Linked DNA regions of Oryzias latipes. The protein of the gene in region 4 interacts with the protein of the main gene of each other region in a pairwise test. Links are inferred from orthologs where the notes say so. Each region holds a gene or a part of one and is shown on either strand. Other genes may lie near its edges.

Region 1 (5,692 bases), on a different chromosome or scaffold from region 4:
TAATTAGGATTATGCCGCTAGCCCAAAAACCTGTGTGGCTTTCTAGGCCCGAGTTTTCTTTAGAAATTCACCTCTAGGTTGTGCTTTGTTGGTGCAGAGCAACAACACCCCCCCCCCCCCCCTCCTCCCCGTTTCTGAGAGCGCTCTGTTTACACGATCTCTCACTAGCTTACAGCCCCAACCTAACGTTACCAGAGCAACAAAAATGACGAGCATTATCGGAGCTATCCAGCCATACAGTTTAAACCATAAACATTTTTAAACCATAAATAGATCTATTTGTCTGCAAGTGGATGCATCAAAATAGAGCCATCTGTGGCCTCCTTAATCACAGAAGATGCCAACGTGACAAAGCATGATTTTCATCAAAGTGGGTCTTTAAAAATTACTATACTTTTGAAGACTAAAAAAGCGTTAGTTTTTAAAAAAAAAACAAAATATTGACTTTAAAAGCCTGCTACAGCAAATGTATACTCTGCAAACCTGTCTTCACAGGATTTAAATGTTAAAATTTAGTTTTTTTTAATTAAATTCCTAAAATCTATCATTTTAATCTTTTATATTATATTTTATATATTTTATTTCTCCTCTGGAAACGGAAGAAAATCTTTTAGTAGTAAAACAATACAAATAACTTTCTTTTATAATAGTTTGTTTGGAAGTTTGATCTAGTTTGATGACAACAGTATTTTATAATGAATTCTGTTAGGTTTTGTTTCATTTTCTTTTGAGAATCTTTGACTTTACATATATATTTATATACCATTTTCCGTAAGAAAGAACTTGTAGTAGTCCTAAATTGGATCATAAATGTGGCTGTCCCCCCCCCCCTTTTTTTCTCTGATATGTTATTTACACATTAGACCAAAGTTTTAATTTACACTAAGGGCAGCATCAACTCATGTTGTTGTGCCCCCCCCCTCCTTACTTCTAGATAACACCCCATCTGCATTGTGAAAGTCAAAGTGAAATGCTGCTCATTGTTGGTCTGTAAATGTGTGTTTTGGTGTAATTGCTCGGTGTCTTGGGGTGTTGGTTTGACATTCCGGAGCACTCCCCTCTGCTGTCACCACCTAACAGGACCCTGGAGGGGAGGTTAGGGGAGGGGGGGGGGGCAAAACATGGGAAAAATCTCAAAAATGCGCGACTCCCCTGTCTTTCCTCTGCTCGCCGGCCCCACCCTTCCAGTGTGGGTTACTAGGAGACCGGGATTTACAGAATCAAAGCCATGGAGATGAAATGGAACGCCACTGTTGTAACAGAGGAAACGTCTTATTAAAGTGTTACTAACGTGAAAAACGGCCTGCTGAGAAAGACGCAGCACTGACTGGTGTGTGAGCGGAGGGGTGGAGGAGAATATTCACTTCACATTTTTTATGCAGGTGTCTGCAGACGCTGTGTTTACCTCCCGTCTGCAGAATGCCCGTAAAGGCAGAGGTCAACGGGAGGGTCTGCTAAGGACGTCTACTCCCGTTTGGGAGCAGCTCGTGCCGATCTTTCTGTAGCAAAGCAGAAATGATGAGCTGGAGTCGAGTCATTTAGATTTTTTGAATGTTTTGTTGATGAGTCATGTCATGCACAAAGAGCTGCTCACATCACAGCTGCAGGGAATGAACATCGCAGGGTGTTAAAGGTCTTCATCGGGGAAAAGAAACCTTATTACTCGCTAAAGCTAGTTTTGTCAGTTTCCTGTTGGTATAGAATACCGCTTATCCTAACCTCCAACACCCCCCCCCCCATGAATAGGCTGTAAAATGTCAGCAGGTCATAATTAGGTTTGTGTGGAAACAGACTGCCTTCAAATAATCCGTGTCTTGATGTGTCTCTCTTGCAGTCTTACTTTGTCACCGATTATGACCCAACAATTGAAGACTCTTATACTAAGCAGTGCGTGATCGACGAACGGGCGGCGCGGCTCGACAGTAAGTCCTGCTTTGACACGTCTGCAACACTGTTTGTCCTTTATGCCCATGTAGATGAAATCCACCCTTTCTGGCAACATGAGAAGTCATATGACAGCTAATAAACTGAACTGACGAGTAGTGTGGCAGAGAGAAAAACATTGCCTGAAATTGTGTTTATTTTTTTGTCCTTAAGTCCCACTCCAATCATCTTTAAACATTCATTTTTAGCCCAAATCAAAAACCTGTGTGGTTTGCTAGGACATAGTTTCTGCAAAATGACAGGAGTTAATTAGGAATTTGCCTCTGAGTTGTGGGCAGGTCAGCTGGGGTGGAGTAAGCCTGCTCCTTTCCCATCATCCATCTGTTTTTACACTCTCCTGCTAGCTTACAGCCCCCACACCCCAACCTAACATTTCCGGTGCAACCAAAATGGCAACTAATATTGGAGCTATCCAGCCGTACAGTTTTGAGGCAGAAAAACAAAGACGTACCTGGATCTATTTGTCTGCAAGTGGATGCATCAGAATAGAGCAGAGCAGAGAGCTAGTGTCACACCGATTGTACCGCCTACATCACAGCGTCATAATTTTCTCCTGATTCACAACAACTTTAATAAAGAAATACTCAAATGTAATTTTAAGCTTCATTTTCCTTAAAAATATCCTCCATTGGGAGAGAATGCTGCATAATCACGTTCAAATTACCAAAAATTCCATTTTCATGGGAGTGGGTATCTAAAAAAAATTTGGTTGTGCCAAGTCATGACTCCTGCCGACAAAGCTGACTTCTTCACTTTTTCTGTTTGTCTGTCCGTGTGTGCGTTTGTGCGCCGGTGCATGTGCTTGTGGTGCGCAGTCCTCGACACGGCTGGACAGGAAGAGTTTGGAGCCATGCGAGAACAATACATGAGGACAGGGGAGGGCTTCCTGCTCGTCTTCTCAGTGACCGACAGAGGAAGGTAGGTGACAGTTTTTTCGCCATGTGGTAACAGCCGCACACACTTGACTCGCTGTTCGCCGCTTTTCTCTATTGTACACGATGTTTACGCTTCACAGTCGCATGCTACACCCTCACTGGTTCGAAACCCCATGCTCGCTGCACTGCCACTCTCACTTGTTGCTGCTCTCGTTTCCGGACCCTGTTGTTGTTCTTGTTGTCGTTCTCCTTTGTTCTTAAGACTTCCTCTCGTACTGTGCCCTGTTTAATCCACCTTTGCTTTCGATTGAAGGCCAAAGTAGAGTCGGAAAAAGGAAAAAAAAAATCAGCTCACAAGGGGTTCTGGATTTTTTGATGCATGCAACTTAAATGTTCCATCTCTTAAAAGTTTGATCTCTTACTTGGGACTTCTTTTTTTTTTAAGTTTGTATGCACTAACAACATGGATGTATATATGTACTGAAAACACCGTCAGGCACTCACAGTTCTTTAACCTTTTGAACCCAACTCTGTCACTTGCCTTGTGTTTCAGTTCAAACTTGTTTACGCTCACACTGTGTTATTTTAAAGTAAAGATTCAGAGTGTCACGATAAATAAACTGTCCCTTTTTTCAGATCCCAGTTCGCCATGGCAACAGAGAGCGCCTTAAAAGCATGCATTCCTCCACCTGCAAATGCAGCAGATGTGCTGGCATTCTTTTATGAGGATCAGGCAGCTTTTCTGAAGGGGGAAAAGGGAGATGATCAGAACGATGTTCTTCTAGGAGCTTATGTTTAATCAAATTGTGTGATTTTTTTTTCACCAAAAAACCCAAAATTGGATTGTCTAAAGTCAATGAAGTTGGATTTACAAACAATAGTTTTTCTACGCTCTTGTTGGACCGTCTCCCGCTTCCCATCAAGTGACATTGTGTCCCTCAGCAGTGCTGGGAGCTGCATTCCCTCGTCCCCACCCACAACCCCCTCCCAGTGTTTATGTTGTAAACACTCTTTCCTTCCTCCATTTATATTAGTCAAGTCTTTCCAGATTTACTATGTGCTCAGCACGACTGGAATGCTATCCTGGGTTTGTGGTTGCATTCTGCCTCATCTCCCCACCCCCAGGCTGTCTGACATATTCTTTTTTTTTTTTTTTTTTTGCCCATCAAATCTGCATTACAGTGGGGCAGCAGTCGGGTCAATTTGCCTAACCCCCTGCCTTCGATAAACACAGTTTATGTTCCACCCCAACTGGTGACACTTAGGGCTGGGCCGCGCTTTTGCTTTCCAGTGATGACAGTGAAGACTTCATTTAGCGGCGTGGATGCATGTACCAGTGGAAAGCATTTTATGGCTTGTTTGTTTTGGAGGACCCCGCATAACGCCTGTTTTTATTTTTTATTTTTTCATAGCTTTGAAGAGATCTACAAATTTCAAAGACAAATCCTCCGAGTCAAAGACAGAGACGAGTTCCCCATGATCCTTGTAGGAAACAAAGCCGATTTGGAGATACAAAGACAAGTAAGTCTCCAAGAACTGAACTCAAATGATCTAATGACGAACAATTAAAACATATAGAAATGCACCGTGCTTTCATTTTTCCCCTCTATGTCTTGTATGGTTATCTTGCTTACAGTAGAGTCAGCCCAGCTGCAGGAAGCTATCATACAGCAGTTTGTGACTGAATAAAAGAGGAAATAGAAACTGTTGTGTCAAGAAAGCAGAGAGAGAAGATCTTGATTAAATAATGTAAATAATGAACTTTTTGGGGGAGTCTGTTGGTGCACATTAAAGCATTTTCCAGCAGTGAATCCACAGCACCTCCTAATGGTGAAAGAGGGACACTGCGGGCAAATCCTATAGAAATGGATCCAAATTTGCTTAACTAAGTTTTTTAAGCCAAATGCTATCCAGGCAAGATGGATAAAGAGAAGATATTCTTATTTTTTGCTAAACTTTCTCCATTTTAAAAGTACAGTATATTGGTTCCTGAATGCATTAGTGGAGGGGACGGGTCCTTTCCTCTCAGTTTAGGCACATATTCACGATTCTCTCGCTGTCTGTTACCTCAGGTCAACCAGGAAGAGGGTCAGAATTTGGCGAGACAGTTAAAAGTCACGTATATGGAGGCTTCAGCCAAAATCCGAATGAACGTAGACCAGGCTTTCCATGAACTGGTTAGAGTAATCAGGTAAGATTCTTACAAGTCAATCTGAAGATGAACTCTAGTTTTTTTTTGTTTATTAGTTTTCATTTTTTATAATAAAAACATGTTTCTTATCATCTATCATTACAGGTAGAATGCGCTATCCCCTCATGTAAAAAATAAAAAAATTTAAGCAATTGTTCTCATCTGCCTTTTAAACATTTTAGCTTTTTTCTAGTGAGTTTTTGTTTTTTACATTTTAAATACAGTTCATACAAAAATGATTAGAAAATGTTGAACTGCAAGAGCAGCTCCACCTGCTTCATTTAAGAATGGAGATGCCTCCAGGGAGTCTGATGTTCTAGTTTCCTGTGATGGAGCAGTCAAATTTCTATAAGAACATTTTCAGTAATTCATGTTTATGAATGTCACCCCCCACAAACAATCTAAGCTGTGTTGAAAATACACTTGGTAATCATAAAATGAGATAGGATATCTTTTGACATAAATACGGAAACAAAGTGTTTGCGGAGATGGTCGGGCTCATATGTCCTAAACGTTTTGCTCTTCCGTGACCCCTGCAGGAAATTCCAAGAACAGGATTGTCCACCCTCGCCAGAACCAACGAGAAAAGAGAAAAACAAGCGGGGCTGCCATTGTGTGATTGTCTGAATCTGCCTTATTACTGTAGAAATCATGCAGCTTCTCAACCCCCCCCCCCCAACTC
Region 2 (6,679 bases), on a different chromosome or scaffold from region 4:
AATTATACAATAATCAATGATAAAGCTAATAAAATACCTAAAGCAGAAAACTACTAATAGTTTAGTGGCTCGATTAAAATCTGTGTGCAGGTTTTTCACAAATTCATGATCTTTTTATATATTTATGAGATTTATTGTTTGATTGGGATATTTATTCATTTTTATTATGAACAACTTGGGACTCCATTCTCTTCAGCTGCTGTTTATGAACATAAGGGGTTATGCAGACACTGTTTTTTAAATTACTTTACATGTTATTAAAATTACCTGAGATGACATCTTCAGTGAAGTCAGGAACATCTTGGGATGTGGACGCTGCACCACCTCCAATACTTTTTGAGAGCAGAAGAAACTGTCGGCTGAGACGGAACTGTGCAAAACATCATCATTATGTAGAATCAAAACTGCAAAATACAAATAAGAAAAAAATTTACCCATTTATAAATAATAAATGTGAACAATAATTTGAGTATAAATGGAAATTTAAGCATTTATACACGTCTTTATCAATTATTTTGTATGTTCATGATTTTAAAATTAGTACATTTATTTTGTTTATCATTTTATGAGAACATTCATTTCCTATGTATTTGGCAGTTTTGATTCTCCATATTTCATGCCAATGCAAGATTTTAAGACACGTTCAATGTTGAAAAAGTCGGAATACCTGACCTGCTATAATAAACAGCAGTTTTTTTAATGACATAAAGCTGAAAATGCAGAACGCACTAAATATTTGTAGCAAAACAATAACCAATACGATAACGTGAGTTAAACATTTTTCAGCCACCATAATCATCATTATTTACTTTTCTCTGCTCTCAGCTGTTTTAGAAGGTCATGTCCGACCTCATCTTGGAAACTTGGGTATCAGAATTATTTTCGAGTTTTCCATTGGAAATTACGACAAAAACGGGGTCGTTAATCTTAATGTGCAATCTTCACCTCGGATCGATTAGTATTTTACGTAAATCGCGCAGCTGCACAAAAATACTGGATAATGTAAAAAATACGGCCCCAACATCCTCCAAACTTACCTTGTGACTGATGTTGAATTCTTCATCTTTTTTCAGCTCCTAATGATGGATAAAGTCACTAATGGCATGAAGTTGTCTTGTTGTCGCTTTGATCAGTGTGACAAAATGTGCTCGTTTTTTTCTTTTCCCCAACTTTATTGAAATAAAATGAGCTCGTAAATACACAGTGTGCCAGGCTCAGATGCAATGATGTTGACCAATCGCTGCTAAGAGGGGCGTAACGTCCTTATTTGGGTTGCCAGATTGGTTCAGGTGTGTTGAAGGGGGGATCACAAAAGTGCAGGCAACTTTCTCTTGCACAACATTCAGAGCGCACGCTGGTACGTAAATTCTATGAAATTGGTTGCCAGGTTTGGGTCTTTTTTGTTTATTTTTTCGCCACTTCGGGGCCCTGATAGTGACGGGGGCCCTACGCGGCTGCGTAATTCGCGTATAGGGAGGGCCGGCCATGGTTGTAATTGTGAGGGGCTGTAAGCTCGTGGGACAGAGTGTAACCAGAGATTCCATGAAATGTCAGTAGAGGGTTACTCCAGTCCAAACATTCCCACCCACAACTCAGAGGTAATGAACTGCCGCTCTACAGAAACTATGTCCAAGAAAACGACAGTTTAGAAAAAATATTTGGCTAAAAACTGAAAAATCATGGTTAAAAGACAACTGGTAACGCTTTGAAAATGAATAAAAAATAATTGCATCACTGAGCTGAAATTTCAGTTAAAAAAACGTAAAGTTTTGTGATTAGTGCAGAGCAGATCCAGAATCTTTTCATATGTTTGTCCTGAATTAAAATATTCTTTGACAGCAGCAGCTTTTTTTGGGTCAGCAGTAACATTCATATTTTTGTTTTGAGGTGCTACATGTCTAATAACTGTTAATATGATGGACATACGTCATCATCCAATCAGCTATGTCCCATAATCATCATTCATCAAATCATCATTTCTAACATTTTGTTTTCTGAAGATTACTTTTGTTTTCTAAAACATTTCATTTTGTCATTTTCAAATTTTGTTTTGATTTCTAAAACTTAATGTCTTATTATTTATTTTGCTTTTTAAATTGTCATGTTTTTGCGTTGAGTGATTTATTGATGTGATTTGAACTTTAGGGCCAGCGTAGTTAATCCTTTAACATCAAAACTGTTGCAGCGAAAATAACATTTTTTTTAACTTATTTATTTTTTGACATACAAGGTAAATATTTTACCGTTCTCGCGATCCTCTTGAATCCGCTGATTCTGACGCAGAGAAAAGCGGCATTTCTTTCTGGTTTTGCGCCGATATACGCAGCACATTACTAACGTATGGAGCCACGGCTCCACTTTTCTGCAATGCTTTTTTCTCCGCTGCGGTATCCGCTGATGTACGTTGATGACGTAAACACTTCACTACAGCACGGTGCTGCGCACATCAGCGGAAAGCTGCTTTTCTCCGCTCAAGAGTCCACTGGAATTACTTTCAATGCGTTAAAGGTGGGAAAGTTACGGTACTGGAAATACTGTAAATGCAGGAGCTAAAGCTCCGATGTTTAAGAATTTTTACAGACTTTTTTCACGATCCGCTCCAGGTGACGCCAGCACGAACCCAAACTGAACGGCTCAGATGTACATTCTCATCAACAAAAACAACCATTCTTATTCGAAGTGTGTTACACCTGCACAGACACACACATACAGGAACGAGACTTTCAGACTCGCGGAGATGATGCTTTTTCCCCACGGCCACTACAATACAGAATGTGTGGGCGCACCGGTGCGTGCGAATATGGATTTTTTTTAGGCGCACCGTTGAAAAATTTAGTCGCGACTAAATTAGCGGCAGTCTAGAGCCCTGCTGCATAGATGTAAGCACATGCGCTTTAACAGACTTCATGTCATGTGTTTGCTCCTATGTGATGATAAGAGCAGAAGGAGCCGCGCGGCTGAAGTGACCGCTCTACAGAGCGCTGCCATAATTGGCCGAGTCTGGTCCAATCAGCGGCTCCCGCTGAACCTTCCGTACATCCACAGGCTCGGAACGTTTAGCGCACACGTAGCGGAACACGGTGAGTCTCATCAGGCTTCTACTCACTGTTGAAATCAGTTATTTCGAAGTAATTAATTCAATTATGACGCAGTAGTTCAGTAAGGATACAGTAAGCAGCTATTGTATTTTAACCCGGACAACTTGTAAAGCTGCTGGTAAAGACTGGTGCTTGTTGGTAAATAGCTTAGCTGAGAGGCTAATTTAAAAGACTAAAAAGCTAACGGTTGCTAACCGCGGATTCTGACGAGTTGTTCGTGCAAACATTTATAGTGATTTAGATAAGCGAACGTTTATTTATACCTCTCATTTCTGTGTATGTATTCTGGTAACTCTAAAGGGGTTTTAAGTAAAACTTTCGGTAAAGTAGTGACACCCTGAGAGTTCAGCCCTAAGCTAACTTAGCACTCGGTGTCTGAGCGAAGTAGTTAGTGAGCCGCTATGGAACATTAACAAAGTTGTAAAATAAATTCAAGCGGTGAATTAGTGTTAATCTGTTTGTTAACTTGTTTGTCTATTGGCCACAATATCTTTAGTTTTATCGTTTCTGTAGTTCGGAGTTTAACCCTGATCTCCAGCTACGTTAGTTAGCTTATATGCTAACTTAATGCTAATACGTAAGTTGTAAGACTTTTTGTAGGTAATGTTTAAAATTTGTCTGGTAAAATGTGTGACCAGTTCGTGTTTGCGTTTACGTAAAGTCGTCAGTCGATTGGGGTAACTTTTACACGATGTTAGAGCGTTTGTTACAATGGGGAACTAATAGCCACACCCTTCCTTTCGAAACCAACTCCGCTAAAAAGTTGTCTCGAAAACAAAACAAATTTTATTAGCGGCTTTCGGTTATAAAAGATAACAGTGCGCCACGGCCTTGTCATAAACCACGATTCGTTAAGAAAAAGTCGTGTTGAAGAAAGTTTTTGTCAAGTTTCGAACCAGGCGCCTTCCTGTTCATTTGAGTCGAGGTAAAACGCAGTTACAGCGTCCGGGGATGACACATGATACCTGCTGTATATTGAACTGAAGGGGTTGAGTCACCTACTTAGCTTCACTGCCATTCAACCCTAGCCAAATGTATGCATTTATGTGTTTTGTGTTTCTACAGGTTAGAAGTTGGGTTAAAACTAGATTATTTGCATTTTAATGCTGTTATCTAACTTTTGTTTTTCATGACGCCGTAGTTGTCATCAAGAGATGTTGACCTTCTGTTGGACTGTCTTGCTTTTTGTATTGATCTGTAAAACACCTTTACAGTCCTTTTAGTTTTAAGTTCCTTTGTGGAAGGAGATTTAAGGTCTTTTTGCACTAAAGTGACAGTCACAGATGTGATTGACTTTTTACACTATAATAGGATGGATGCAATCTGTAATCATTTATATGTACTCCTGACATAAATCTTCTCTTGATTTTCTTTAGGACTAGTTTGAGCACTTTTTTTTTGGTGTTTTCTGGTTCCCCATTGATCCTCATTCCCTCTGGAGCGGTTGACATAATTGTACCCGAGGACCTGCTGACCCCTTATCCCCAGATGTAGAGGGACTTATCGACATATCTGTGAACAGTAGGTCATTTTATTTATTTATTACTATATTTAAAAAAAAAATTAAGTGATGTCTTTCATCTATTCCTTCATTTTTGAAGTATTCATTAGCTGCTAACAAAAACGAGGAAGCGTTTTAATTTTCATAGCCCTAAGTGGGACGAATAAATGAAGTGCTTGTTACTTCAGCTGTTTGAGTCCAGCCTCAAATCTTGTCAGAGGAAGGCTTATGCTGCTTATCTGATGTGAAAGGCTTTGAGGCAAAGGCTGTGACACCCACACAAATTTACATCTTAAACGGAGTGATTTTTTTTCCTCCCCTCTTCATGCATTCACTTCTAAGCTAACAAGCACATCAGGCGCATGCTGGCGTCACCTCGAGGTACGCCCCCTCACCCCAGTAATGACATTGGCGCAGTGGGCATGCATGCTTTCTCTGATCTCCTTTCTGTGTTTGTATGTACTTGAGTAAAGGATGGTCATCACAATGGCTCTTTGTGTGTGTCTGTTTCTCACTGCGGGTTTCTGTTTGTCCTTCATACATCAGAGTTAGAATTGCTAATGTCGGCCGACTGTGACAGAGAGCTGTATGTAGCGCCTGTCTCAATGTTCGACAAAGATCACAGCAGACCTGCATCAGGTTCAGATTCAAAAATGTACTTTGATGCTTTACTGTAGATGTTCTCTGACATGGTAAATAAAGAAATACTTTTTATATGTATCATGATGTTTTAATTAAATTTGATGAACAAAAACCTTTTTTTCCATATTTGTGATTGATTTATTGTTTTTTCTTCTTCATGGAATTAGGGTTGTTTTTTGTTTTTTTTAAATCAATTCATTTTTTAAGTCAAAATAGATGTGAAAGATAAATAAATCATTTAATTTTATAACTTAATGTCATTATCATGATATAATTACTATTTTTGAGTTTTCTTTTTTTGATTTTCGGAAAAAAACAGAGTATTTGAGATTCACAATCCTTCCATGTCTCTTGATTTTCTTTAGGACTACCGTAGTTTGAGCACTTTTTTTGGCTCCCCATCGACCCTCAGTCTCTCTGGAGCGGTTGTCATATTGTACCTGAGAATCTGTTGACCCCTAATCCCCAGATGTAGAGGGACTTATCAACATAAATCGGTTTTGTCATCTGGATTCTCAAATTACTAGATTACTGCTGTAATTCATAAGTCATAATTCAAAATGTATCTTTGGTTCTTCCTGCTGTGTGGACTAAAGGTTTTCCTAAATTGGGATCCAGCTGATTGATTTGAGAAAATGCCTATTTTTGTGTGAAGCGTGTCACACTTGAACATTCTCCTGCTAATTAATTCCAGGCCGTGTGTGCGATCTGAAAGTGTGTTGAGCTGATGAAGCTGATGATAGGTCACTCTTGGTGGCCTTTTTCCCCTGTATTGTAATGAGGTGAAGTTATTTGGAGCTCTGGAACACTGACGCACTAGCTTCAGCTTTTATTCCACAGTTTAGAGGCCAAGTGTTAAAACCGGCTTGTTTTCTTACTTTATTCACTTAATGGTCTTGAGATTTTGAAAGACTTTTTTTAAAATTGCTATTCACTCTTTTTTTTCCCCAATGATTGATTGATCATTATTTGTTTATATCTCCATTAAGTAACTCAGTCTATTATTTTGGATAAATATCTTTAGGATTAGGTGGGAAACCTAATTTGACAGAGTGAAGTTCTGAAAATATTTTTCCATTTTCTTTCTGTGCCCTCATTCTGAACAAAGATGGCACATTTGAATGATGAAAGACGTTGTTTTCTGTAGTAGAAAACTCTGTTCTCAGTTCCTCATCCTTCCTCCATTCTTTCTCAGACTCTTGTGCGGTCCGGTGAAGTTGCCCACCATGCGTGAATACAAGCTGGTTGTGCTGGGATCAGGAGGCGTGGGAAAATCTGCACTGGTGAGTTCATACCATCAAGCATTTTAGGCTTTCGTGGAACGCAGACGTATTTTCAAAATATTTATAGCATTTTGTGTTTGTGTAGCATCAAACAGGACAAATTGCAAATTGAGTAAAAAGAAGCATTACTTTTTCTGAACCCAAGGATCGGCTGA
Region 3 (6,621 bases), on a different chromosome or scaffold from region 4:
GCGACACAGTCGAGATATGCGGACCGGCTGAAATCTCCAGCGATGCTTTCTGGGTAAAGTGCGCCCTGGTATCCGCCCATATTCGCGTAACGCAGGCCAGAAGGAGCAGCTAGGCCGGGCGCTGGATCAGATGGAAAGTTTAATCGATTAATTTGGCAACTTCATGTTTTCGTCCGCTCCCCAAACCACGTCAGACCGACTTAAATGCCGGCATTTTGGTGAGAAGTAGGAAATGCGGAGATCGTGCGAAACGAGAGGATTATTTGCTTGACAACTTAATCGGTCGCCACTTCAGACGCGGAACTCCAGTCACTTAAAGGTAAAACAAACGGTTACCACTAATTTCATGTGCGTGTTTGTTTCCTTACTATTTTAATCAAAATTGATTCCACGTTTGAGTTGAAATACAACTAATTGAATGTGATGTGAACTCTTGTGCGACAACATTGCAGTAGGAGTGTTAAATTTGGCCCAAACTACGCCCAGTCGTTAACCTACAGTGTGGCCCTGCACTGCAGATTTATGCTAGCTTGCCTCCTTCAAAATGTGCAACCTTTTAACTTTGCATTAAATTTAACTGTTGTCCTCCAGGGTTTAGTACAAACAAGGCAAAACTAACGAGTCACTTTCATTAAAACACACTACTTTGTTTCATTAAAGCGAATAAAAACCAACTTTTGGGGCTGCTTGAAAGCTCCGGTGCTAATGCGGCTAACAGCACAGCCGTTAGTCTTATGCTAGCAGGTTTTCCTCATACGGGATAAGGATTTAATTGACATTTTAATGTAACATTTTTTTTTAATTTAGACATAACGTGGCTGTCCCGACCTGCTTCAACAAAACCAAAATACACAAAAGTTTAGTTGAAAAGCCGCGTCCGCTTCATACGGGTATCAATCTTTAACGCTAGGCTAATATTTGTATAGGTGCTAATCAATCTCCATTAATCCCATCATTGTGTTAGCGGTGAATTTGAGTGCTTTTTCTTTCCGCGTTGGGTTTGAATTAAATATACCCCTAACAAAAGATTGTACACAATTTTGTGACTTCCCAGGATGGGATTTCAGAATCCACAGCGTTTGATTTGTCTTCCTGTTCAAACACAAACCTTCAAAGGACAAACACTACTATCGACTGCTTTTGCCTCCTTTAAACTAAGGAAGAAAAATGGCATAACCCATACCCCCTCTACTTTAAATATAAAAATATAAAATAAATACAATAATTAGTTAACAAAAAAAAGCCTAATTTATTTCTTAAAAGTTTCTAAAATGAAACTTACATTTTCCTCTAATTTATAGCTAGTTTCACAAAGTTTGAACCGGCTTTAAAAACGTGGTGTTCCTACATAGCTTTCCTTTTTTTTTTTTTTGACTCTTTCAGCCACGGTAATCTTAGTTGTGGAAGCAGTATTTAGTGCATCTCTTCTATGGCTTTGAGGAGTTTGTATTGTAGTCTTTGAAAAGGCCAGCTGCCAGTATTGATAGATGCTGCTCCACAAAAGTCAGACAGCAGAGAGCCTCCCTGTTGCTTGTCAATTTTACAGCCTTAATGTAATGTCATAGATTTCTGCCTGGAGCTAGGTTCTGTTGTCTGATTATCACTCAGAAAATAGCCCTGAATGTGTTGCTGGACTCAGACCTTTGATTTGAACTGAAAAACTATCTATTTTTTACTTCTCAAAGCTCACCACCTGCTTATTTCAGGTCACTTTTCTATAGAAGTTCTGTTTTGTTTTACCTTTTTCTATAATGATGAGTTTTAATATACATGCTTAGCATTTTATGACAGCTAGTCTTTAAATTTAAGGTTCATATGTTGGTTTTGTTTAGATTAAACAACAAACTGTATTTTGTGATTGCATTTTTTCAAACTTTCTGGGACATTTGGATTTTTACTGCATTGCAGCTGTCAATTTACAGGTTTCCTTTAGCAAGAGATGATCAGATGACTGTCCCCTAAAACTGTCTGCAAATTATTAGAAGTATGAGAAAAGAAACCAAAATTGACAATAACAATGAAACCAAGTGTCATAATTTTGAGACGTGCATCATTTGCCATTAAGGGTTCCGCTGAATTGGGGATGTACTACTTGATGATGTTCTTACTTTGGTCCCTCAGGTGAATCATGACGGAATATAAGCTGGTTGTGGTTGGAGCTGGTGGTGTTGGCAAGAGCGCGCTTACCATTCAGCTCATCCAAAACCATTTTGTGGATGAATATGACCCCACCATTGAGGTAAAGGAACATTGTGTATGGATACACAAATTGACAGTGCATTAGCAATAAAACTTGTGTAAAAAAAAGAAAAAGCAAAGAGTTGTAACAGGTTCTACTAGTTTAACTATTAAAAGACACCAAACGGGTTTTCTAATGGCTTCACACTTGGCTTCTTGCACAGTTTCTTAGAGCCAACTGATTTAGTATGAACAGTTTAATTTAGAGTTCTTTTAATTTGAATTATTTTTATTGACATGCATTTTTTAGGTCAGACAAACTCCATGTTAACTCGGATAAAAAGAGCAGCGCTACTGTTCTTTTTATCCAGGTTAACATGGAGTTTGTCTGACCTAAAAAATGCATGTCAATAAAAATAATTCAAATTAAAAGAACTCTAAATTAAACTGTTCATACTAAATCACTCCATGTTAACTCCATGTTAACCTCGATAAAAAGAACAGTAGCGCTGCTCTTTTTAGCTATTTTCATCTGTGCGATTTAAAAAAAAAAAGAAAAGTGAAGCACCGAGTGGGACTTCAGTGTAACTTGAGGCCTGCTGCAAAATTGATCAGAAAGGGACAATAATTGAGTGGAGTCCAGTTTCAACTTTGAAGACACGACAAAATAATCATCAATGCAGGCCTGCTTAAGTGGTACAATTATGTTAAGATTCTAAGCTACATGACAATCATTTCAGCAGAAAAAACTATGAATTATGAAACAAAGCCATTGAGTTTCTTAAACTATGTCACATTTTTTGTATATTCAATTTTATTCACATTTAAATTCTTGGCCATTTTTTCTCCCTTCAACATAGTGAAAAGGGAAAAATTGCACTGGTGTTTTTTTTTCCTACTAAAAAGAAAAGATTTTTAGAACTTTGTAGTTACTTCCTTGTTCGCCTTTTATCCAAATTATGTCAGACCAAAACATTTTTGCCTTTTTTGTTTGTAATTTTTTTTCTTCAAATAAAATGTATTACTACTGACTGACTATTTATATCTTTATTTCACCATCTAAAATTAAAAGTGATCACTTTTGCCTAGTATTGTGAAACTACATTTGAATATACTTGTATATTTATCATCACTTCTGTTTTTTTATAAATATTTGGTGACTCCCCAGTTTGTGTACATTTTTGCAAAATGGCGAAACAATTTTTATATTCTAAAGTACTCTAAGCATAAAAACAACTTTTTTTTGTTTACTTGACTCACTTTTCTACAGAGTTCTGATCATTTGAAACTTATTTCTTGTTCAGGACTCCTACAGAAAACAGGTAGTAATTGATGGAGAGACGTGTCTGCTGGACATCCTGGACACTGCAGGTCAGGAGGAGTACAGCGCCATGAGGGATCAGTACATGAGGACAGGGGAAGGCTTCCTCTGTGTTTTTGCTATCAACAACACCAAGTCTTTTGAAGACATTCACCACTATAGGTGAGCTGAAAGACAAGCTGGCAGGCAGTAGTCTTCCAGAACTGTTGTCATTTTTTTCTTCAAAATAAAAATGTGTCCATTTGTAAGTAATTATTTTAGCACAAAAATAAAACATTCATCACCGAACAAAGGTGATCTGTGGTCTGATTTGAATCTATTTATGTGTGGAATTTGGAATAATTTGGTTGATGGTTAAACAAAGTTCATGTGTTTGACTGTCCAGAGAACAGATTAAGCGGGTGAAGGACTCTGAGGACGTCCCCATGGTGTTGGTGGGAAACAAGTGTGACCTCCCGACCCGGACGGTGGACACCAAGCAGGCTCAGGACTTGGCACGCAGCTTTGGCATTCCCTTTATTGAAACCTCTGCCAAAACCAGACAGGTAAGTCTGCCCTCGGCTCCATGCAACATGTTTTTTTTAAATAATAAAATGTTATTTCAGAAAAAAAACTAGGATATTGTAATTTAGAAAAGTGTCTTTTAAAAATTTCGAATGAATTGAAGATAAGTGATTGAATCACGTTTCTGCTGATTTGTGTCACATTCACTGTCTCTAATGGCCCTTTTTATCATAATGTTGGAGGGAAATGTCCCTGCTAATGTATTGAGCCTCATTAAATCATCTCTCTTTAATTGAATTTTTATTTATGTGAGGTAAGGTAATCACTGCATGCTGCTACGTCATGAAATGACGAATTGACATTGTCAGTTGGGCCCACCTGAAACCATCCTTGTAAATAATCTGCAAATCGGTTCAAATCAGGGGTCTGCATGAAAGGGCAAACTGTCAGTAATTTCTGAGAGGTTTGATTCTTCAGCGAGCTGGTCACTGTTTGTGGGTGTTGGAAGATTAGCTGTGGTGTTGCATCCTGTGGTGGGTGTCGTGATCGTTGCCTTTGCCATTAGATGGGCTCATGGAGTGATCTGTGAACGTGTTCATCCTGGTCTGTGAGCTGCAGCCAAACAGCACTTTTTCTGGTGTGGGGAAATGATTGGTGCCGTGACTAATTCCTGGCAGCTTTGTTCACCTATTCCCTCTTGAGTGTCCCGTACCTTTTGTTCATACGGTTTCGCTCCTGTCTGATTGCAACTTTACTTTTGTTGGGAGTCAATTGCCCCCCCCTCAAATGTTTATTTTTTTTCCTCTGACTTCTGTGGAAAATCCTGAATGCATGCACCCTTAATTTGTGTCCAGTTTGAATAAAGTGATATTCCACCCAGTTGTTAATCTCCTGCAGGCTTGGAATGTGACTCTGATTTTTAAGGAGGCGCCAACTGCAGCCTAAACACAATAACTGTGTTTATTTTACTGCTTTATCAACCAACTGCTGTCTGTTACACTGCATCATCATTCCCATATCAGTCTGTTGATCCACTTTAAGACATGATCTGTGTAGTGTTACTCAATAGGATGAAAAATAGCTGTTTTTCGGAGTGCTAAGCAATAGAATAAAGTTGTCTTTGTTGTGAGTTCATGTCAGTTCTTTATGGTATCTCTAAAACTATAAGGCCCTTCATATCAATCGTTTGATTTATTTTTGACAGCATACTTCTACTTTTGTGTGAAAAGGCAAATCCCACAGAGCTGTGGATTTTTTTTTCCCCATATTTTTTTGCCTCTAAATCAACCGATATGAACAGAGCTACACGGTTATTGCTGAGAGGAGCATCAGCCCTGCATTGCTGTTATTTATTTAGTATTATTGTTTAAATAAATTGTGTTGATTTATTTGAGTTCTCAGGACAAATGTCCATACTTTTCAACAGTTTTGGAATACAAGAAGAAATCCAATTTCCATAGTCCCTTTTACTTCAGTCATTATTTTGCTTAAGAACAGCTCTGCAGTCTCCTCTGCAAAAGCTCCAGGAATAGAAAATAGTTAGTTAATTAGGTTTTATATATTTCATTTTTTTACGTTTTATGGGGAGGAAACTAGACTCATTTCCAAGCCTGCAGAAGCTGCTGCTCAGTTTTCATCCAATCAAACTCTTTGAGTTTTTAAGAGTTTGGAGAGAAGACAAATCCGGCATTTCAGGAGTATCCCCATGTTTATCTTAAAATTTCTGACACCATGAAGAATGTGCTCCTACATTCCTCGCCATTGAGGAGAGTTGTGTCTTATACCGCAGAGAGTGGAAGATGCCTTTTACACTCTGGTACGGGAGATCAGGCAGTACCGGCTCAGTAAGCTCAGCAAGGAAGAAAAGACTCCACGCTGTGTCAACCTTAAAAAGTGTGTTGTGATGTGAGAGGGGTAAGTGTACGCAGCCGCGCACCCATCAGCTCTGTGTGTTGTTGGGGGGAACGGCGGACGAGGGATGGAGGAAGACACTGAGCCAAAGCTGGTGCTTCATGTGGTGTCAAAGCTAACCTGCTGGCTTTTATTGGGACTGTGGTGAGGTTCTAACACGAGCCTGACGTGTTTTGATTTCTTCTATTTTCAGTCTCCATGTGTTGTGGTGGATTATTGTCTAAGGTCATTTTCACACTGGGTTCATCCATCAAGTTTGGGGAAGTTTGATTTGCGCAGCTGGTGTGCTTCTGCATGGATGTCTGAACTCTTTTTCATGGGTTTCTTTTGCCTTATCCCTTCCCCATGGAGGAGCATTTGTCAGTCCTTGTTTCAGCAGTAAAACGACCTCCTAAAGGACTCCTGGCCTAAAAAAGGAATCGATCCAATCAAGTGTTTGGTCACGTTTTTACCAGATTCAGGGAAAACTACCAGTGTGAAAATATCCTTCTGTGCTGAAAGAAACTTGTGTACATGGTTTTGGGTTGCTAAGCCATCTTGGGCGGCTGTAGGTTCTTTTAAAAAAAAAAAAAAATTTAATGGTGAATGTGGGACTAAATCATGCTGAAATATTCATGTCTTTAAAAAAAATAAAAAAGCAAAAAAACAGCAAAAATTCTGACCACAAAGGCTGTGTGTGTTTTGCCTATACGAATCTCTCCATGTCT
Region 4 (5,946 bases):
TGTAAACCCTAGAAATGGTTGTGGGTGAAAATCGCAGTAGATCAGCAGTTTCTGAAATCCTCAGACCAGCCCGTCTGGCACCAACAACCACATTCAAAGTCATTTCAATCACCTCGTTCTGATGCTTGCTTTGAACTGGAGCAGATCGTCTGGACCATGTCTACATGAATACATGCTGCCGGGTGATTGGCTGATAAGAAATTTGTGATAACGAGCAGTTGGACAGGTGTGTCTAATAAAGTGTCCAGTGAGTGTAGAGCTAAATGTTCTGCCTTTTCTTTTTCGAAAATATCTTGATTCTCTTTGTTTTGTATGACTGTATGAATGACAAACGCTGTGGGACTCTTATGAGAGCGGATATGTCTTTCAATGTTTTATAGCGTTGATCTTGATCCCCCACATCTAATACCACAATTTGATTGTTAACTGTTCTTCCATGAGTGTTTTTAGTAAGTGCAAATGGGATTTTTTCTTGTAGGAAGGAACCTCCAAATTTGCAACTTTAGAAATCAACCCCAAACGAGCACAGAGGAGACACCAGCAGCAGAGAGACCTGGTAAGGTGGATGGGTGGAGGTCAGTGTCCTGCCTGCTTTGTTCTCAGAACTATTGAAGATTGTTTCCTACAGCACCATCTTCATGCAGCCCTTGCAGTTATTTTTTAGTTTTTCTGAAGCAGTCTGCTGACCTTTATCTGTAAGTATCTGTTGAAAATACTAGTTGTCATCCAGCACCACCAGTAGGCCACACCCACTATCAGCTCAATAGTGAGCACCTGTGAGACTCAGCCAGGAACTTACTTAACTCAGCCAGCTTGCATTCCCTTCCCCCTCCAACCTCTACCAGGAGAAGAAGCAGTCCCAGCCAAATGCTACCACAGATCAGTCCACGTCCAGCTAAGTGGATGCATCATAGACGCAAAATCATCCACAACTCATCAGCTCAATTCAAATAAATAAGATGCCTGTGGAGTTTTGGGAGTTCAGTGTTTGAATATGCATCCCAGTTATTTTCTATTTTTTCTGAAGCAGTCTGCTAACCTTTATCTGTATGTATCTGTATATGATAAAGACGAAAAATTTGCACTAAAGTATAAGTCACATTTGGTTGACATTAGTTTAACAAAACACAGGAGCAAGAACGGACAATTACTGTATTTTCCCGACTATAAACCGCTATTTTTGTCACGAACCTTCGACCCTGCGGCTTATTCAATGATGCGGCTAATTTATGATTTTATTTATTGGCCACCAGGAGCGCTTCGGCAGTCTCAGAGGGGAGACTGCTTGCGTAATTCTATGTCCAGCAACAAGCGTGACTGCTTTGAGAAACACTCAAGCTGCCAAACAGCATGGACCTCACTTCAGCTGTTAGACACTTAAGTCATGGTGCAATAAAAGGAACATCCATGCCCAGCCGCATCCCACAATCCTTTGGTGCCATTAGACCCAACGTGCACATGACAGCCACTAGAATATGATGCAGCTTTCAGGTTAAAAGCAATCGTTAAAAGCAGTGTGAAAAAATCCACCATCACCAACAGGTTTGGAAAAGCCGGTCTGCTGCGTGCCAGAAGTTTCCTTGACTTTTGTGGAAGGAAACTTCTGGTGGACGCGCCGTTACGCAGAGCCGCGTAGAGTGCGCATAGGCACGTGCCGCTCGCGCTTACAAGTCACTGCCACTCTCTTTTACTTGTGTGTTTTTTTAACAAGCCCTGTTATTTCCACATTGCTGCCATGTTACAGGGGAGAGCTGCTCTCGCGTTCCGCTGCAGCTCCCTGCTCCTTCTTAAACACGCACGCGGTTTCAGAACATATACATCCTCAATCTACAACACAGTCTGACGAACCGGGGGTTAGCCCCGCCTTAAACCCCTAAGACTCATGGGAAGTGGGGAATCTGAGTGTGAATTTCCACACCACAAGTGAGGGAGCTGTTAACTGAAGTGAGGTCCCTGCTGTTTGGCAGATGTGGGTGTGTTCAAATAAATAAGCTAAACTACAGGTTACTCCCCCCTCTCTGAGACTTCTGTGGTCTCAGTGACGTGCTACTTGAATTGTTACAACATGCGGCTTGTGTATGTAAAAAGTGGTTAATCCTCATTAAATTGGGAGGGTGCGGCTTGTAATCAGCTGGGTTCTATAACACAGTAATTACTGTAATGTTAAAAGTCATAACAGAATAGATGACAACAATAGACTGAATACCCGCACGCTTCATTACTGTAACACATTGATGCTTATTTAGCTTCATGAAACATAGGAGGAATCTAGTATATTGTGCCACATATGAACACTTATTCAAAAGACCATAGCAGCAAGAACGCAATTCAACTAAACCCTTTATGACTTAAAATCACTAAATCTATGGACTTCTTTGGCCTCTGCTGCTTTGGAAGAATTCCGCCAAGCCCGGCGGCGTAAAACTGAGCAGTGCTTTTTCCTTTTGCGTTACTGTCAGTAGCAAATACTCAGACACACAACTACAATGCCCTCCAGTGGTTGTTGCTAAGTCACACCTCAAGCCAATCCACGCAAAAAACTGAAACTTAAACTCCAAAAAAGACGGTAATTGTGTTCTTCTGTCCTTTCAAACTTCATCCATGTCCTGTTTGTTAACAGGGGGTAATGCAGGGGACCATTCCTTATTTGGGAACCTTCTTGACGGACTTGGTGATGATGGACACGGCCATGAAGGATTACACTGAGGTAAGGACCTGCGTTTCTTTTTATCTTAGCTTGGTCTCAGTCATTGCCTAAGTTCCTGATCTGGTTTTCCAGGGTGGTCTGATCAACTTTGAGAAGAGAAGAAAGGTGAGTAAATTTCATGGGAACTATTATTCCTTACAGAAGTGATGACAATCACTTTGAAAATGGTTCTGTTTCTGGGCTTGCAGGAATTTGAGGTGATTGCTCAGATCAAACTGCTTCAGCTGGCTTCCAACAACTACAGCTTCACTCAGGACAGCCACTTCAGAGAGTGGTTCGCCAGTGCAGAGAAGCTCAGCGAGGCAGAAAGGTCAGTTGATCAGTAGCTTGGTGGCTACTCCATCAGTACAAAAGGAGCCCAACAGTGATCAACTGTGATCCGCTAAGTTTAAGCAATAAAGAAACAAAAATAAAAAGAAGATATATTTAAAAAAAAGTCAAAGATAAATGGTCTGCTAATGTAAATCATTCTAAAATTTCTTTGGTTGAATCTTTTTTTAATCGTTTCAACACCACGGTACATAGAATGGCTGTCCTGTTCTGGTATAATCTCAGCATTAGAGACAGATAGAAATATAGTTTTATTCACCATTTTGAATGGATCTGACTGAAAAAAATGGCTTTGTGACTACATAAATTAATAATTTTCCCTCCCCCCACAGCTACATGCTGTCTTGTGAAATTGAGCCTTTGTCGGAGTCGGCCTGCAATACACTGAGAGGCAAAAAGAATGGAGGAATCATGAAGCGGTGGAGCGAGTAAATTATTTCAGGATAGTCTATCAGATTTCTGTTGCACATCACTTCACTAAAGAATTATTTCCCTCCTCCTAATATCTTTCAGCCGGCAGCTAACAGAGGCCAGCTGCAGCAGCAACAGCTCTCACTCAAAGTCCTTTGACCACTCACACTACAGGCCGTGTCACGGAGGGGATGGCGGCGATGCACTCAGCGTCACCTCAGTCAGCTCCAGTGGCTCAGACCTGGAAGACGTTCACGTCAGCTTTCTGTCAGACTCACCGGAGGGGCATGAGAGGAAGGTAAGTGGGGGTGCAAAGGGGGTCAGCAACAAAACTCAGGTAGGCTGTGGTGTTGGAACCATGCTCAACTGGTACTAAGGGGCCCAAAGTGGGCCAGGAAAATATCCCCCACACCATGCCTGAACGTTGATACAAGGCAGGATGGATCCATGCTTTCATGTTGTTGAGGCCAAATTCTGACCCTACCATCTGAATGTGGCAGCAGAAATGGAGACTCATCAGACCAGACAAAGTTTTTCCATCTTCTATGGTCCAGTTTAGGTGAGTCTGTGTGAATTGTAGCCTCAGTTTCCTGTTCTTAGCTGACAGCAGTGGTACCCGGTGTGGTCTTCTGCTGCTGTAGTCCATCTGCCTCCAGGTTGGACGTGTTGTTCTTTCAGAGATGCTCTTCTGCAGACCTCGGTTGGAACCAGTGGTTCTTTGAGTTCCTGTTGTCTTTCTATCAGCTGGAACCAGTCTGGTCATTCTTCTCTGACCTCTGACATCAACAAGACATCAATGACTTATTACAAACCTCGCATAAATATAAGAACAGAGACTAATACCTATAAACCAACTATAGAAATGTTTCTCTGCTTTGAAATTTTTCAAAAATTATTGAAAAATTATTCAATGATAAATTAGTTTATTTTATGTATAAGAATAATATTATTGATGAATGTCAATATGGTTTTAAAGAAAACAGATCAACCTTAGTGACTATCATAGATGCTGTGGAGGAAATAACTGCTTCAAGCAAAAATATGCGACTGGAATTTTTATGGACCTAAAAAGCCATTTGACCCTTTCAATCATGACATCCCACTTGGTAAATTACAAGAATATGGGATAAGAATAGCTTAAAGTCAGGTCAAAAGCTATGTAACTATTTGACAAGTTAGAAGGAGCGAAATCAGATGCTAGAATATTTGCGGTGATCAGCAATGTGCAATTCTGGGACTGTTACTATTTAATATTTACATGAATTAAAAAAAACCTTTAAGAAACATAACTTGCTAACGATACAAATATATTATTCTACAGGCAAATAAAGGGAATTTGGGAATCTGGTAAATGCAGAGCTAAATAAAATACATGGATGGATTACAACAAACTATCACTAAGATTAGACTAAACAAATGTAATTTCTTTTGGTAAATACAATTTCAATGTGGAGTTGGCAATAAAAAAAGAATGTCACTTTCAAGAGTGTAACAGAAGTTAAATTCTTGGGACTAATAGTTGACCACAAACTAAGCTGGAAGTAGCACATCAGACACACAAATTGAAGTAAAGTAAAGTAGTGGAAGGATAAAATTTTTCCTGTAATGGTAGAAGAAAAAAAGTCCAATAATAGCATAATCTCAGTATATACCAGAATATAACTTAGGATATTTGTTTTACTCCTATTTAATATTACCATTTTTTCCTTCTCTAAAGAAATTTTTGGGTAATATTTATAGACGTTCACTACATTCTCTTTTTTTTACTTCAAAAACGTGCCATCAGAATCGTATATAGTTGTTTATCTTGATCACTCAAACGCTTTTATTTTATGTATCCAATCTTGTGGCCAAACACTCCTCCGTCAATCAAGTTGCGCTTATGATGCTGAAAGTTATTCTGAAGCTAGTCCTCACGATGCTGAAGAGAAAAGTTGATTCTGAAAACGGAGCCTTTGAAAACTGATGAGAGGCAGAATAAATATTACAGATAATTACTGGTAAACCTGCGTGTGTCATTTGTAGAGCTAATGTGGCTGTAATTAATTAATATGCTGATGACACTCAACTCTACATCGCTGTGTCTCCTGATGATGAAGAGTCGGTTAACACACTCTTAAATGCATTTTAGACATTGAGTCATGGATGGCAGAGAACTTCCTACAGCTAAACCAGGACAAAACAGAGGTTTTAGCGATCGGTTCTGAAGACAAGAGAGAGATAGTTTTATCTAAACTAAAGAATTACAAAACTTTTCAGTGTGTGAGAAACCTGGGTGTCATTTTTGACTCTGAGATGAATTTTACCCCACAAATTAAAAATATCACAAAAACAGGATTTTATCATCTAAAAAATATAGCCAGAGTCCGCCCGTTTCTCTCTCTTGCCAGTACAGAGGTGCTAATGCATGCTTTTATTACCAGCAGATTAGATTATTGTAATGCCCTGCTCTCTGGTCTTCCCAGAACAAGAATAGCAAATCTTCAACTGCTGCAAAA
Region 5 (5,946 bases), on a different chromosome or scaffold from region 4:
TGACAGCAGGGTGTGTTTCAAAGTGAGAACATCAGATGATTGTGTCATTTAAAGGAATATTTGCCAAATTCTTTTATAGTTCTCCCATCACATCCTTTTTTACTCCCATTCACAACAGCTGGTTTGTGTTAGAGAAGGGTCACATACTCTTCACCTCCTCCACCCAGCAGCAGCTCCTCTTATGGGTGTTCCCTCCATTGTTGTGCTCCTCTTGTTCATTACTTCTAAAAATGAGTGCGATCCTTCTTTTTTTTTTAGCAGTAAATCTTCAAGACATTCCCTTTCTGTGTTGAGCAGGAACAACAATTTTTCATGATTAAAACAGCTCATCCTTTTTTTCACATTTTCCTTTATTTCGCCCTTGTTTTTCATACAGATTGTTGGGCTGTCCAGTGAAGCAATCCCACCATGCGTGAATACAAGCTTGTTGTGTTAGGCTCTGGCGGTGTGGGCAAGTCTGCTCTGGTGAGTATGCCCTCGTGATCACCCTTCCAGCCTGCTATAGTTATCCAGTTAACATGTTTATGTGATTGTGTTGTTTTTATGAAATTTATTTTTACAATTATGTGACGAATTGTATGTGTTTAAATGAATGTGGACACGTTAGAAACGACTCCTGCAAGTAAATGGACACATGCATCTATATTCACCAAGAGGTTCTGCTGAAACTTTAGGCTTGGAAACTCTTGGTAAAAACTCTGGTACAAAAATAGTGATCGCTACATGAGCTAAGTTTTAATTTCCTAACAATAACCAGAAGGATAACCAACAAAACATTTGAAGTTTTGGCAACTTGCTGAACAGTGTTCAGAAAACAGCGCTCAAACTGAATAAACTACCATATAAAGAAAATGTTAGTTGAGGCCTTATTGATCTAGTTTAATATGTATCACAACTAATTTCTGCATGACAATACAAATATTTGGAAACAGAATGCGAGGGGGAAAAGCTCTATTAGCAAATTTGAAACTCCTTTATCCAAACAACTACTTTATCCTTTTAAAAAACCTTGTATTGATATACCTTCTTTTGTCTCTTTCTACTTTTGAGTAAAACATTCATAATCCATTTTTTAACAGTGCAATCTTTGTTGATGTATCCTTAGCAACATACAGTGAGGCAGCTTAAGAAAACATTCAGATTGTTCTGTAGTTATCATGGGACAAATGACAGGAATATTAATTGTCTAGCTGTTATTGAAATCAGGTCTTTAAAGATGACATGTGTCTAAAACTTAGAGATGCCCTACTTTAATTACTTACCAGGTGTCAGAGTGTGGCTTATCCCCTGAGCTAGTAGGATTAAGGTGCTGTCAGATGAATTTAGAACACCTATGTGTACGTTTGCTTCAGAGGACTGTGCTTTTAAGAAAGGACTGTTTATACATGATCTTTCATATTAACTTATAGTCGTACCAGACACTAAAACGCTGCTATTGTTACCAATTTGTTCCCCTTTTTTAAGGAATGTCAGCCATATATATCCCCAAGCTTCCTGATTCCAGGTCCTGACTTGTTAAAGAAATCCTTGAATTGTTGTTTGTACCAGCAGACATGGCACCTGCATGTTTGTTTGATGGTAGATTTTGTCTGTGCCTTCTCTTGCAGACAGTTCAGTTTGTGCAGGGAATCTTTGTGGAAAAATATGACCCTACAATAGAAGACTCGTACAGAAAGGTGAGTGTGTCCTCATGGGATGTAAATGCTATTAAGCTGTCTGCCGATGCTTTCTTTTAGAAAATAATCTGGTTTATCCCACTCATTTAATTCTTTACTGACTTTTAGAGTTTTCTGAATTTCATTTGAACAGTGAACAGTTTGAATTGTTGCCATATTTTCATGTTCACTTGTTTTCCTCTTTTCAGCAAGTGGAGGTAGACGGGCAGCAATGTATGCTTGAAATTCTTGATACAGCCGGCACAGTAAGTAAACCTGACCTCATTGACATCTCTGTAAATATTCCCTCTTCTTCACATACTCCTGAATGCATTTATCAAACACTTTCAGACGTCAGAAAATGTCAGAGAAAATAAACTTTCTCAAATCTTATAATCTCCTAACAAAGTGAATTTAAACATGATCCAAGTGTTGCTGTTTACCCTTTTTATTCATCTGGGTGCAGTGGGCACTAAACCTCCCCTGCTGTACTCATGCAAGATGAGCCTTTTTATTAGTACTACATAATATTTGGAGGATATATAATAGATTTTTGTTTGATCTCTTAAGTCTCAAACAAAATGTCAAATCTCAAGTTTCAAGATACCAACACAGGCAATAACCAGAGTTTATACACAATAAGGAAATTGTCAGAATTAATTCTTCCTCTTTGTTTTTTTCTTTTCAAATGTAGGAACAGTTCACAGCGATGAGAGACTTGTACATGAAAAATGGCCAAGGCTTTGCCCTCGTATACTCCATCACAGCACAGTCCACCTTCAACGACCTTCAAGACCTTAGAGAACAGATTCTTCGAGTAAAGGACACAGAGGATGTGAGTGTACTCTTCATGGGGGGTACTTGCCATACTTTTATAACTCCTCCCAATCAGCTCAAAATAACCTCCAGTATCCTGCTGACTTTGTCAGAATTAGCAGGCATTTGAAATATTTGGTATTGATTATTGTAGTGTTGTTAACATTATTTAGATACATTAATCACAAATTTACTTTGTATACCAGTTGGTTTTCTCATTATCTTATGCCGCATTTACACTGAGTGGGGGCGGCTGGTTTCAATGTTAAGTCAATGTAAACTTAGCAACAGTCGTGCAGTGGAATTCCAGCATGTTAAAAAATTTTTACCTGAACATTTGGGAATATTTATGTCACGTCAACCAATCAAGAACTCTGCTTTAAAAAAACTGGGCAGTGACGTGTTGTTGTGATCAGTCAGAAACCGACATGGTGGAGACGCTCAACGCTGCTATTTGTACTCCTCCCAAACTTCATGTTTTTTCTTATTTTTATTGATATTTGAGACAAGAATAAAAAGGTTCTTCTTTTACTTTATTCCTTCCATGGACAAATCGTCAAACTGGGCTTAGAGAAGTACAGTTGTGTCAGTCATTCAGATACAGCTCCTACATGGCGAAACTCACGTACTGAGACCTTCGTTGAATGATCTCATGAACCCAAGCTTAGGGACATGCTTGCTGGCACATTTGCAAAGCTGTCCAAAACAAATAAATCCAAGCTACTCTTTCAACATCATCCATGCCTTCCATAATGTAGCAATGAGGCACTTCAAAACGTATAGCAGTAGCTCCTTCCACATGCATATTGACCTAAAGTGAATTTCTGTGTGATTTATAAACACACTTTTTTACACACCATAAGAGCAAATTTGCTGCATGGCCAAACAGAGAGGGAGAAGGTCAATTTGATGCAAAAGCCACATTCAGTCTGAACCCAGCATAATGCTGGAGAGTGAGGCAGGAGTTGTAAATTGACTTTGAGTTTTCCAACAATGAAAACAAATGTACTCCTCTTAAGCATCAGCTCTAAATAAGATGCTTCTTATTTTTGGTTTGCTTTTTTTGTTCATTGTTCAACAAAGTACAAACCCTGATGGTCCCTTTTGAAAATATCCTCCAGTTGACTTGTGACATCTGAGTAAGCTCCTAATTTCAAATAAAGCAGAACTATGGCAATGTTATTTTTGGAAAACCAGCTGTCATCTCTGTATTTTCCAAATGTTTGTTTCAGTAGCTATCAACTAACTTTCTTCCTCCTTTTTGGAGGAGCAGATCATGCGTCAGCAGGATCTAAGATGCCCTTTTTTGGCGATCTTTGAAGGGATTGAATGTTACCGTAACCCCTACCCTTTCCTTTCCTAACTTCGTTTTCCTCTTCCCTTTTAGCCGTCAGTATAACTTTTCTCTTGGCTGAGTTTTGCTCCACTCTTTCTGTCCTCCTGGCTCCTTTCGTACCGCATCTTTGCTAGTTCTCATCTTTGTTTGTTTATTTTTTAATGGCCTCTCCAGCTCTTGCCCAGTTTTTATGGTCTTCGTTGTGGCCTCACTGTGGTCTGGCTCTCTGTTTGGGTGATTGGACTGTCAGGGATGATGTGCAAGGAAAGCTTCAGCTCATCAAAAGCACCCTAGGTTGTAAAGCTGTGGTGCTTCATTACGGTCTTTGTGGTTAACAAACCAACATTGGCCTCAAGCTAACATGTGGGCTGGAGGATCCATGGCGTGCAAGAAAGCATTTCATTTACCTTTTCTACCAAAACATGTTCTTTTCTGTTATTATTAAAAAGACTTTATTTTCAACAGTTTTGCTTGTCTGGCTGCTCTGTCAGCTTTCCACTCGGACGTGAATTGGGAATACACCTAAAACAGCTGGAACATTTGTTTTTGTCTTAGCAGGAATGCTCTACCAGAGGAATTTCTAAGCATATTTTCTTTTAATCATCTGTAAAGACCCATTGCTTATTTGGGTTTAGTCTCTAGACCATTGCAAAGTTAAAACAGATCATTCAGGTTTTATTTTTTTTATTTGCCCACACCACCATATGTGTCTCCTGACGGACGGCATTGGGAGTAAAAATAATAATAATCAGCATTAAAAATCCTTCTTCCTTTACTTCCTTCCACAGTTCTTATGTAAGAGATCCTATGACTTTGCTATTTCTGCCCGTGTCCATCATTGTATTATCTCTGTGTTTGTGAGTCACTCAGACAAAATGGCTCGTTACTCATTCTATACTTTGATGTTGTGCATTTTTGTGGGACCTCCTCCTAAATGTAAATGACATTTTAATTCAATCTAATGAAAATGGGGATTCTTTAATTACGGTAATGCTTCCTTATGTCCTGCTGACAAACCTTATTTTTCCCCCATCTCTGCATTCCTGTCTTTCCATCCTTGTTTCTTGTCCCGGCTTGGCTGAGTGCTCGTGCTTGCAGTGCACTCCATTGCTTTGCTAGCAGCCCATACAGAAGTGTTGCTCAGCAGTTCAGTGAAGGATTGTTTGGATATCAAACATCAAGCAGGCACCTCTGTAGGCTCACTGTATACACGTCTGTTTCCTGTCACGATTCTCAAATGCAGGAATGCAGAGAGAAAACTTTTCTAGAAATGTATTCTATGCTTTTTTTGTCTCAAAGACAGTAATCGCTTAACAAAAAAACAAGTGTTTTTTTAATCAACAAGACAATCCTAGATATAACTTCTGGAAGAGAAGAAGGTAATAAAGATGCGACTTTCTGAGCGTAAATTCATGTTTTTTTTCTACTGGAGGCCAACCACAAATAGATTTCTCCTGGCTGATATTTTATTGATGGCTGTTGTGCTGTAAAAGTTTCCATTAGGTAATTGTTTGTTTGTTGGAGGCCAGTGGCAAAAATGGAAACGTCTTGTGAACTGTGACAAACATTGATGCCTCGCTTCTTTTACCCCCCCTCCTCACATTTCCCAAGTAAACTAAACTGTTAAACACACAAAAATGTCACACACTGCACAATCACACACCATCATCTAATTCCACTGAGCAGCTGAAGCATGGAATACAGCTGAAATGTTGGAGAACATTCAGGAAGGAAAGCAATGTTATCCCGGCTGGGCGGGGCCGCCATGACTTCCTACGAGCCAGCATTCTCCCAAGATAGTTAGTCAGGAAACGGCAGACAGGATGAGACGCATCCCGACAACCCTCACTGCTCTGTGTTTGCAGATTGTAATAGGGAAGCCCTAAACTGGACTAAAGGTTTCCGTCCTGCTCCACCTTTTTATTTGTCCTGCTTCTTACTGTAAACGTGTTAATAAACAAAAGGAGAAGTGCTGTCTGTTTAAAGAGATCCAGTAACCACAGATCAGCACTCTGTCAGCTTTCTTTAGAAACGTCTCTATTAAAGACAAACCAAAGTTTTCTCAGCAGTTTCTGGTCATTTTTGATTAGTCAGCTGGTAATTTTACATTTTATAAGCCTTCTCTAACTGTCTGCCTTT

What was found.
Region 1: the proteins of ralgds (region 4) and rras2 interact in a two-hybrid assay, tested with the Homo sapiens proteins (2 studies listed by BioGRID and IntAct). The link is inferred for Oryzias latipes from reciprocal best matches to the Homo sapiens genes RALGDS and RRAS2.
Region 2: the proteins of ralgds (region 4) and ras-related protein O-Krev interact in binary tests that used the Homo sapiens proteins (3 or more experiments, as listed by UniProt). The link is inferred for Oryzias latipes from reciprocal best matches to the Homo sapiens genes RALGDS and RAP1B.
Region 3: the proteins of ralgds (region 4) and kras interact in a two-hybrid assay, tested with the Homo sapiens proteins (3 studies listed by BioGRID and IntAct). The link is inferred for Oryzias latipes from reciprocal best matches to the Homo sapiens genes RALGDS and KRAS.
Region 5: the proteins of ralgds (region 4) and ras-related protein Rap-1A interact in a two-hybrid assay, tested with the Homo sapiens proteins (3 studies listed by BioGRID and IntAct). The link is inferred for Oryzias latipes from reciprocal best matches to the Homo sapiens genes RALGDS and RAP1A.

The regions. Positions count from the first base shown.
Region 1 is NC_019861.2:19,398,890-19,404,581, forward strand, and holds part of rras2 (ras-related protein R-Ras2), read left to right. Parts: intron 1-1,834; coding exon 1,835-1,922; intron 1,923-2,759; coding exon 2,760-2,862; intron 2,863-4,231; coding exon 4,232-4,340; intron 4,341-4,891; coding exon 4,892-5,010; intron 5,011-5,549; coding exon 5,550-5,637; 3' UTR 5,638-5,692. UniProt on the Homo sapiens protein: GTP-binding protein with GTPase activity, involved in the regulation of MAPK signaling pathway and thereby controlling multiple cellular processes. Regulates craniofacial development.
Region 2 is NC_019865.2:21,779,058-21,785,736, reverse strand, and holds the start of ras-related protein O-Krev, read left to right. Parts: upstream 1-2,854; 5' UTR 2,855-3,080; intron 3,081-4,474; 5' UTR 4,475-4,619; intron 4,620-6,436; 5' UTR 6,437-6,467; coding exon 6,468-6,524; intron 6,525-6,679. UniProt on the Homo sapiens protein: GTP-binding protein that possesses intrinsic GTPase activity. Contributes to the polarizing activity of KRIT1 and CDH5 in the establishment and maintenance of correct endothelial cell polarity and vascular lumen.
Region 3 is NC_019864.2:21,724,501-21,731,121, forward strand, and holds the start of kras (GTPase KRas), read left to right. Parts: upstream 1-2,128; coding exon 2,129-2,239; intron 2,240-3,482; coding exon 3,483-3,661; intron 3,662-3,884; coding exon 3,885-4,044; intron 4,045-5,792; coding exon 5,793-5,912; 3' UTR 5,913-5,917; intron 5,918-6,621. UniProt on the Homo sapiens protein: Ras proteins bind GDP/GTP and possess intrinsic GTPase activity. Plays an important role in the regulation of cell proliferation.
Region 4 is NC_019867.2:33,325,527-33,331,472, forward strand, and holds part of ralgds (ral guanine nucleotide dissociation stimulator), read left to right. Parts: intron 1-478; coding exon 479-556; intron 557-2,620; coding exon 2,621-2,707; intron 2,708-2,779; coding exon 2,780-2,812; intron 2,813-2,895; coding exon 2,896-3,017; intron 3,018-3,369; coding exon 3,370-3,465; intron 3,466-3,550; coding exon 3,551-3,746; intron 3,747-5,946. UniProt on the Homo sapiens protein: Functions as a guanine nucleotide exchange factor (GEF) activating either RalA or RalB GTPases and plays an important role in intracellular transport. Interacts and acts as an effector molecule for R-Ras, H-Ras, K-Ras, and Rap.
Region 5 is NC_019863.2:11,454,703-11,460,648, forward strand, and holds part of ras-related protein Rap-1A, read left to right. Parts: intron 1-376; 5' UTR 377-408; coding exon 409-465; intron 466-1,607; coding exon 1,608-1,676; intron 1,677-1,864; coding exon 1,865-1,921; intron 1,922-2,349; coding exon 2,350-2,490; intron 2,491-5,946. UniProt on the Homo sapiens protein: Counteracts the mitogenic function of Ras, at least partly because it can interact with Ras GAPs and RAF in a competitive manner. Together with ITGB1BP1, regulates KRIT1 localization to microtubules and membranes.